Caenorhabditis elegans: one gene and its partner. The protein of the gene in region 1 interacts with the protein of each later gene in a biochemical or structural test. Each region holds a gene or a part of one and is shown in the gene's direction. Other genes may lie near its edges. The genes, in order: mps-4 and exp-2.

Region 1 (3,432 bases):
AAAGACTCGAAAAATGATTTCAGATGGAACTCTGTTAGTTGTACAAGTGAATATGGAAGGTGAGAATTCATTTATGAGAAATCTTTCTAACTTGTCCGTCCAAAAAAGGATACCCAATTTAAGAAACTTGAACAAAGAATACTTTATAATAACCATTGCTCTCTTTTTTCTCCGTATCATTCAAGGTTTTAGATAAAAATTATAATAAACTTTTGCATGGGTTTTTGGAATAACTTTTTTGAATATTTTGGAATAACGTATAACAAATTTGAACAAAAAACATAAAAATCCTCCAAAATTAAGTATAAAATTCTTCCAGAGGGCTGTGTCAAGAAGCAGCATGTGACACCGATTTCTACTGTGCACCTTCAAGCAATTAGTGATGTCATTCTCAATTTGAATTTAAACAGAATAAACTATTTTTAAAAGTAACATATTTCACTCTCTTTTTTAGGAGAATGTTTCGATACTCTACAAAACTAGTTTTTTTGTGGAGAGGAGGGGGAAGGCCTTGTGTCGGTATTTCGATATTCACCAGTGAATATGAATGAACTTTTTATGAATCACAGAATTGAGGCGATAGAGTCATTCGAAACTTTTTTCAATTGTTTGACACAAGAATGTCTCATAGGTTTTATTGATTTTTCTATTCTTTTTTTTACTTTTTGGTAACTTAGCGGTAGGAGATTTATAGATTTATAGGTCAAACTGAAAATGTTTTCAACTTTGCCTATGATTTCCATTCGACGTTTTTCGTAATTGTTGAGTAAAAAAAATTGTTTTTTAGAAATGTGATGTATATTTCTAAATCTAAATATATGTATGTATTTTATTCTAGTAATTAAAAAAGAGATTTTACATTTTTAAAACAAATAAATTTTGGTTTTGAACTAATTTTTTTTTGAGAATTTTTGATAGGTTTTAATTAGCCTATAGGGCTGGAACACCGGACGTTCGAAAAATCTGACGCACGCAACGTCCGGTTTTTTTTGTTTTGTGTTTACAATCTCTCTCACTCTCACTGAGATTGTAAATAAAAACAAAAAAATAACCGGACGCCAAAATTCAAATTTTCATTGTGCTTCTTTTTCTAAAATTTTTGGTTTTTCTGAAAAAAAAAACATACCCTGTTGGAATATTTTGTCTTGCATCGTGAGTTTTATTAAATAAACCTCTCCTGAAGCTCAATCAGATCTTAAACTCATATTTTAATTTGAGAATGTATCATCGCCGAGTTATTCAAATGAATGAAAAAGAGCTCCGAGCAGTTACAGCAATTGTGTTACCCGGAAGAAAGGGTGATCAGCTGAAAATTGGAGAAATGCAAGAAATGTGCATAAAGTGGCAAGTTGAATTAATATGATATGAGTTCATTAACTCTGTCTTTTCCAGGTTATTCTCAAATGGACTCTCGATTAACCACGTTTTCGAGATTCATGATGATGGAGATGGTGATTTATTTTGTGTGATGAGAAATTCCGATGCTTGTTGGTGTTGTCCAAAATGTATGATCGATTTCTTTTAATATGTCGGCCACAATCTCAGAAGCATGGGTCTTGTATTTCAACTTGTTTATTTTTAACTTTTTAGCCTCTGAACTAGGAACTCTAACTGATTTCGATCGAGGTCCAATTGGGGACAATTATAGAAGAACACCATCTCCGGTTCGAAAACCAACTACCGAAACAACAAAAGAAGATCTGGAACCTGAAAAGAAAGTGAAATTTGCACTTCCTTCTCCCGAACTTCCAGCTTCTTCGCCGCCACCAAAACCACAGAAACCAAAACTGCCATCTCAGAAAATTGCTCCAATTACAGTTCAGCCAACAATCGTGACGATTCCGGATAAAATACATAAAGAAGGAAAAGAGCAACAAGGAGCATGTGCATATTGTAAAAGAGAATGTGGATTATGTATTGTCACGTTATGTGCACAATTTTGAAATTAATATTTTATAAAATTTACTTTTTGATATTCTTTTCTGAAAAACCATGACTTTTCCAAAAGAAAATATCAACAACTACGCCAGTTCTTCGTTCAATTATAAATACCTAATTGAAGAATTTCTTCAATGGAGCTCCTCATGTAATCGGTAATTTTTCTTTTTCTTATTTGTTAAGATTTAAAAAACAAATTTCAGCATCTCCTATCCTACCAAATACTTTGATTTTCTACTCGTCATCATCATGACTTTTGTGTTCCTTTGTCTAGTATATTTACTTATTTGGATTGAAGTTTTGTTGAATTCTTCTCGGCCTGGTAAGCTTTATATATTTGATTTTATATATAGAGTGTTGGTCTGGGCTTTGGAAAACATATCAGCCTCATTTTTTAGGAATTATGACGTCGCTGTTTTCTTATTTTCTATATTACGTTACCGCGAAAGTTGGCGACGCTCTACCGAACTCCGTGTTAATTTACGGGCCTGAGACGTCCTACTGCCAAAAAATGAGGTTACCACATGTTTCAGACGCTAAATAACTATGGAATACTCTGACTACACATGATTACTTGGTATTTATAAAAAATACTAATTTTCAGATCCAAAGCATCGTGTCTATTACCCGAGAACAAATTTTTGGCAGAGAACAGACTAGAAGATTTTGATAATTATTTTAAGTTATTTTTTAATTTTTTTTCTGACTATGAAGTTTTTAGAAATTAAAATTTGTTAGTTTTGTTGTCAAACAGAAGTGTTATAATTCACCCGCAATTAATTTATGTTAAAGCAACAAAAAGAGGTTCAATTTTCAGAGGAGTACATTCTGAAATATAGATAACTGAGTACTTTGAAGAAGCTTGGCCTTAATAGTTTGGAATTTTTCGCCCAACTTTTTTTGGCCATTTTTCTTTTCAAATCTTTGATACCAGGCCGGCTGCGGAAAGGAGAGTGGCAATTGTTTGGAACATGGAAAAATGAGAAGAAGATTTACACGGTTCAACTTGAATAACAAAAGAATGATATAATTGCCAAAGATTTCTATTTTGAATGCACAATGCTCCACCGCCACGTTTCAGTTGTGATTTCTGAAAACAAAAAGTGTGCTATTTCACTTTATGAATACTCTTCAAGTTTATGATTGAATGTTTTTCGTGGCGAGTCTGTGATCCTTAAAAAACGATATGTGACCAACCTGCCTATTCATATCTCCAAAACAAACAATCGGATTGGTCTGAGAATTTGAAACCGCCCATTTCGAATGATCCTTCGAGCTCGCGAAGTTCAGCCCGGTTACACGCATTTCTGTGACGTCATGAGTCTGAAATTCTGATTTATTTCACGTCTGAAATTATCAATTTCATACCTGACTAGTACTCGTACAAGTTGTATGAATATCGTCTCCACTGCCATTCAACCAACTCTCCACTGCTAGTGTTACTTTATTTTGGCGGGATATCAAATCATTCCAAATATCTGTTTAAGCTCATAG
Region 2 (5,142 bases), on another chromosome or scaffold:
TCTAAAATTAACTACAACATTATTTGCTCATTGGCTATCTGTATCTTGCACACATATCTTGCAACGTTTTCTTCCCGATTTCTATTCTGACCCAGTCTACTTTTTGGAGAAAATGTGATGTGGATTACGAGTTAAGAGCTTGTTAGCAACAATTGGTAGCCGTTCATCCATATGAAATCCTCATTCTTTTCCGTTTTTCTGCGAGGGGCGACCCCCCATTCCAAATGCCTTCAGCTGCACTATGTTCTGTTTCTTCTAGTTTCTTATATCCTAATAACCCTTGGTGAACCATTCAGTTAATCTGAGCTAAACTTTTTTTTTAACATGCTGATCCACTGAATGGATTCAATTTTCTCTGTGTAAGTTTTGTTTCGTTATAAAGTTTCATAAAGAATTAGTTACTTGCAAGCAAAAAAGACCGAATGAGCTCCTCATTTGTTGTATGCTCAAATGATTATGTTGGCAGAGTTCATCTCAAGCTTCTCCTCCCGTGTTGTGTTTTTTTCTCGTTTTCTATCCTCGACCGTCTCAACGAGGGAACAAAGATCACGGGAACTTTTTCAATTCGAGAATTGAATAGGTTTTTGCATTTTTAGACTAAATTCTTGTGGCTCTGGGCAAGTAAACGAAACAATTCTCAAGTGGTACTCACAGTGGTCAAATGATTCCTCCAGAACCCGTGGAGCCAGATATATTTTGACATTTTGCTCGAATTTCCACCCTCACACTCTTTTTTTTTTGTCGTTAGTTCTCTTTTTCGATCTTTGCTAGTGAGAAATATTTAGAAGCGGTCTAGTGGAAGAAAATTTATAATCGAGTAGGCTTGAGGTTACACAGGGATGGAGACTCGGAGAAGAGGTGCTAAACGGGTCCATATGCAAAAAGCAAAACAAAAAACCAACTGCCAGAGAAGAATTCGACTTTTAGATTATTGTTCTGGCGTTCGGTTGTGAGAATGAAAATGGCTCAGGCCAGGTAGGTCATACTCAATATTATTTTTTGGTAGCAAATAATTTTCTGAAAAAATTGAATACGAAGATTTAGTGTAGGTCAGACCATATCAAATTAGAGAGCCAATTCTATACTCTTTTTTATCACTCTTACATTCTTTTCCGCACATTGTCTCTGGCAAACAATACCTATCATTTTCACAATGTAAACCTACAAGTGTACCTTACCGACAGATCATCCTCTTCGGCCCCCTATCACTGTGTTTACTTTCGCTCCTAAAATCCTACGTGAGCAACAAAATTTGTCATACATGAATCTCAATTTTACTCGATTTTTATAGTGTTCCATCGATGTGGAGAATAAGAGAATATGAGAATTTTTCACCGCAATTGAAAACATATGTTTTTTGGTTTTTCAATTGATTGGATGAAAGAAGGCAGATATCTTTCGAAGCTCCACTTTGTTTCTTGATTCAATTGCTAGCGTGTTGAATGTTCATCCCGATTCATTTTATATTCTAGAAATTCCAGTCTAGAGAGTCATGAGAGTCATCACCGTAAATCAATCATGTTGCTTTTCCTCCCTTCCAGTAAGTAGATAAAATAGATGCCGAAAAACGGGGCACCCGAGACCAAAACCACAAATTTGGTTGCTTTTCGTCTTCGTCGTCTTTGCCGCCGTCTTCATCGACAACTCGCTCATATTTGGTTGCTAATACTACACATATATATGTAGCAGTGAATTGAAGAGAAACAGACGAATTCCGTCGTATCTATCTCATTCTCTCACTACCTCACCTGCATATCTTTTCCCTCTATAAGCACCGTGCTCCCTCCGGTAAGCTTTGAGCGCCCAGCGCGGTTTCCCACGCGACGAAGAAAAAGAGAAGCAAGGCGTCAATTCGGCCACCTGCTGTCAATCCTCTCTCATTCTCACTCTCTGTGCCGATCCTTCATATCTTCACACCTGCCCTCAGTGGAGCCCCATCCCAGCTGCCAGTGCTCATAAAAAAGAAAAACTAGAAGGACCTTTTCTTATCACCTGTTATTTATCAACTGGTGTTCCTGGGGTCGGACGTCTGAAGTATTAGATACCACAATGGCATGTGCAAGTATTTCTTACTCGGCGCTGGCATATAATGGACAGTAAGTTTTTCTATCAAAGCATACCGGAAGCTTCTAACATCATCATAGATTCACGTCACGCATCCTCATCACATCTTCTCAATCTATCTATTAGTTCTGTTTTCTCTTCTTCCTTTTCTTATCTTAGTGGAAAAAAAAAATAGCTTCACTTTAAATGTGTCAGTCCAATTCTCATCATCCTTGACACCTCTCATCTTGTCACGCACACACACGTGTGATGACACCTCTCTTCTACTTCTCCTAAACCTACTCTGAACACTGCTGAAAACTACTGAAAAAAAAACACTTCACGCGCTAAAACTGAAGTTGCAAAATGGCGATTGCAATATCGCAAGCGGTTCTAGCGCATCGAAATTCTGCAGCAACATTTACGGTCCCTGGCTCGACGGAGCAACTCAAATTCCATAATTACAGGGTAACCGGAAACATGATCAGCGGGTAAGTTGTGATTTTTAATGCCATGACTATCAATCTAACTAAAGATCGGATTGTATCGATCGTGTTTCTCTTTTCATGCATGATGCTTATGTTGTGATGTTTGATATATTAGCTTTTCCTTCCCTGTCACTAAAACTGAACTCTAGACCAAGATATCAACGGGTGTGATGCACTTTGATCTTTTGTTCTAAAATTCTAATCCTCCAATTTTCAGGGCCGCACAGCAGCACAAAAAGCGGCTAGTCCCGCTGCGTCGGACTGATGCAATGACAGTGGCGGAACGTCGAAACTATCAGATTCTAGACGATATTTTTCGATCTGGAGCATCCGATTGTTTCCAACAAGTCAGTTCAGCGGATAACGGAAGCCCACAGTTTTTGAAGCTAAATATTGGAGGCACAAGCTTTATGATTCTAATCGACGCGATTCTCCGCGCAGACACAACTACTTTTCTCTCGCGGTTTGTCCAACTCACACACACAGCTAGATTAAAAGTGAGCTAAAAACTGGGGGATAATCTCATCATATCATCAATCTATTTCTCTTTTATTTAGGTTGCGGATGCCTATATTTCCGCTGATGATGCTTACTATTTCCAACGATCACCTACTTCCTTTGAAGCTGTGTTTCAATACTATGCAACAGGAGTGGTGCATCGACCATCTGAGGTGAATATTAGGAAGTGAAGTGGAAAATATCTACTTTTTTAAAATTTTAGATTTGTCCAGCTTCGTTTCTAAGTGAGCTCGACTTTTGGAGGATATCCCATCAACATGTTGGATCTTGTTGCGCCGATATTATCCCCCAAAAACGGGAAGAAGAGAAAGAAGAAGAAAAAGTAAATCATCTGTATATCACAAATTAAAGAAAAATTTGTTTTAAGGTAGATGATACCACCTTCGATAAGTTGATGTGCGGAAAGTTACGGAGGAGGATGTGGACTTTTCTCGAACGGCCTGGCTCTTCAATGCAAGCAAAGGCATTTGAGTTGTCATCGACTCTTTTTGTAGCAATTTCAGTTATGGGACTTTCTTTTGGAACTATTCCAGATTTTCAAGTAAGTATTTAACTTTCTAATAATTTGGTTAAGCATTCAAATATTCAGGTTACTCATCTTATGCCTCCTCATAATGAAACAGTAGTGTTACCGAATGGAACTGTAACGGTTGTTCAAAAAGTTGAGCAAATGAGAGTGGAACATCCGGCGTTTGTGTTCACGGAACGGATATGCATTGCATTTTTCACTGTCGAATATTGCCTCCGGTTTTTCGCCGCACCACGGAAATTAAGATTTGCGCTGAAACCGCTGAACCTTGTCGATTTACTTGCTATTGTTCCATTCTACTTGGAATTGCTTCTGACATTATGCGGAGTTGATGACAGGAAATTAAGAGATCTACGATGGGCTTTCCTTGTTGTTCGGATTCTTCGAGTTCTTCGAGTTATCAGAATTATCAAATTGGGAAGGTTCTCATCGGGACTCCAAACATTCGGAATGACACTTCAAAGATCACAAAAACAACTACAAATGATGACAATTGTACTTCTGACTGGAGTTGTATTCTTTTCAACCATGATTTATTTCTTGGAAAAAGACGAGGAAGGAACACCGTTCACAAGTATTCCGGCGGCATATTGGTGGTGTATAGTAACAATGACAACTGTAGGATATGGAGATGCTGTTCCCGCAACTACTAGTGAGTTCTTTCCCCTATTTGTGGGTTCTAATTGAATTTAATTTCAGTGGGGAAAATCATTGCATCAGCAGCAATTATGTGCGGAGTACTTGTACTTGCTCTGCCCATTACTATCATTGTCGACAACTTCATCAAAGTGGCTCAAGATGAACAACAAGCGGAGCAACAGAAAAATGACCAGCAAAGCGAGCAACTCGCGTTGGAAGCCATGCTCAATGCCCATGACTAGTATACAAATTATTTCAATGATTAATGTTACGAGTAAATGTTTCCCCCGAAGTTCTATATGTTTTATCAAACTTAAGTGAGTATATTGGTTTTGTTATTTTATTTTCATAAATTTATATTTTTTCTAAATTTTCTATTATGGTTACTATCATTATTTCCGAATCTAAAAATATTATTGAAAAAGAAAACCAATCCAATTTCAACGGGAAACTCCTCCAGTGCACTTTCTCCTACTTTATCTCTCCCCCACTCTCTCACTCTCTTCAACTTTTTTCAAAAAGTCTTGACGGCATCTGACTATAAAGTAAAAAAGAAGAAGATTCCAATTTCTCTTGGCATATTTTTTGATTCAAAGCCGCTTTACACACTCCATCCATTTCCCCATTTCCCCATGTGAAAACACAGAGAAGAACACGCTAGAAAAAAAACTCGAAAAAGACATTAGGCCATTTCCTCTCCCAAGACCCACCTGGATTTTTGTTGTTAGCTAACATATCACTCTCGTCCGAAGGAATGATTTTAATAAAAATATTATTAAAAGTTTGATATTATCACTTTGTTCGATTCGTAACCCGACTTTCCCAAAAAATTCTTTAACTAACCTGAGAATGAGAGCCTCAGTTTCACAGTCTCTCCTTTGTCGAAAACGAGTGTAGAAGCATATCGATCTACCCGATTGATCT

Evidence for each region.
Region 2: of the proteins of mps-4 (region 1) and exp-2, one has a biochemical effect on the other in vitro, tested with the Caenorhabditis elegans proteins (one study listed by BioGRID).

Annotation. Positions count from the first base shown.
Region 1 is NC_003281.10:8,269,956-8,273,387, reverse strand, and holds mps-4 (MinK-related peptide, potassium channel accessory subunit protein 4), read left to right. Parts: upstream 1-1,943; 5' UTR 1,944-1,992; coding exon 1,993-2,093; intron 2,094-2,141; coding exon 2,142-2,260; intron 2,261-2,542; coding exon 2,543-2,598; 3' UTR 2,599-2,668; downstream 2,669-3,432. Other genes in the region: clec-160 (C-type lectin domain-containing protein 160), read left to right, coding at 1-59, 320-380; F09G8.10 (uncharacterized protein), read left to right, coding at 1,220-1,344, 1,393-1,505, 1,591-1,943; crn-7 (Cell-death-related nuclease 7), read right to left, coding at 2,855-3,028, 3,136-3,261, 3,307-3,416.
Region 2 is NC_003283.11:6,138,961-6,144,102, forward strand, and holds exp-2 (BTB domain-containing protein), read left to right. Parts: upstream 1-2,049; coding exon 2,050-2,096; intron 2,097-2,150; exon of another isoform or gene 2,151-2,366; intron 2,367-2,510; coding exon 2,511-2,534; intron 2,535-2,748; coding exon 2,749-3,028; intron 3,029-3,088; coding exon 3,089-3,202; intron 3,203-3,252; coding exon 3,253-3,372; intron 3,373-3,417; coding exon 3,418-3,591; intron 3,592-3,639; coding exon 3,640-4,231; intron 4,232-4,278; coding exon 4,279-4,460; downstream 4,461-5,142. Other genes in the region: ttn-1 (Titin homolog), read right to left, coding at 5,062-5,142.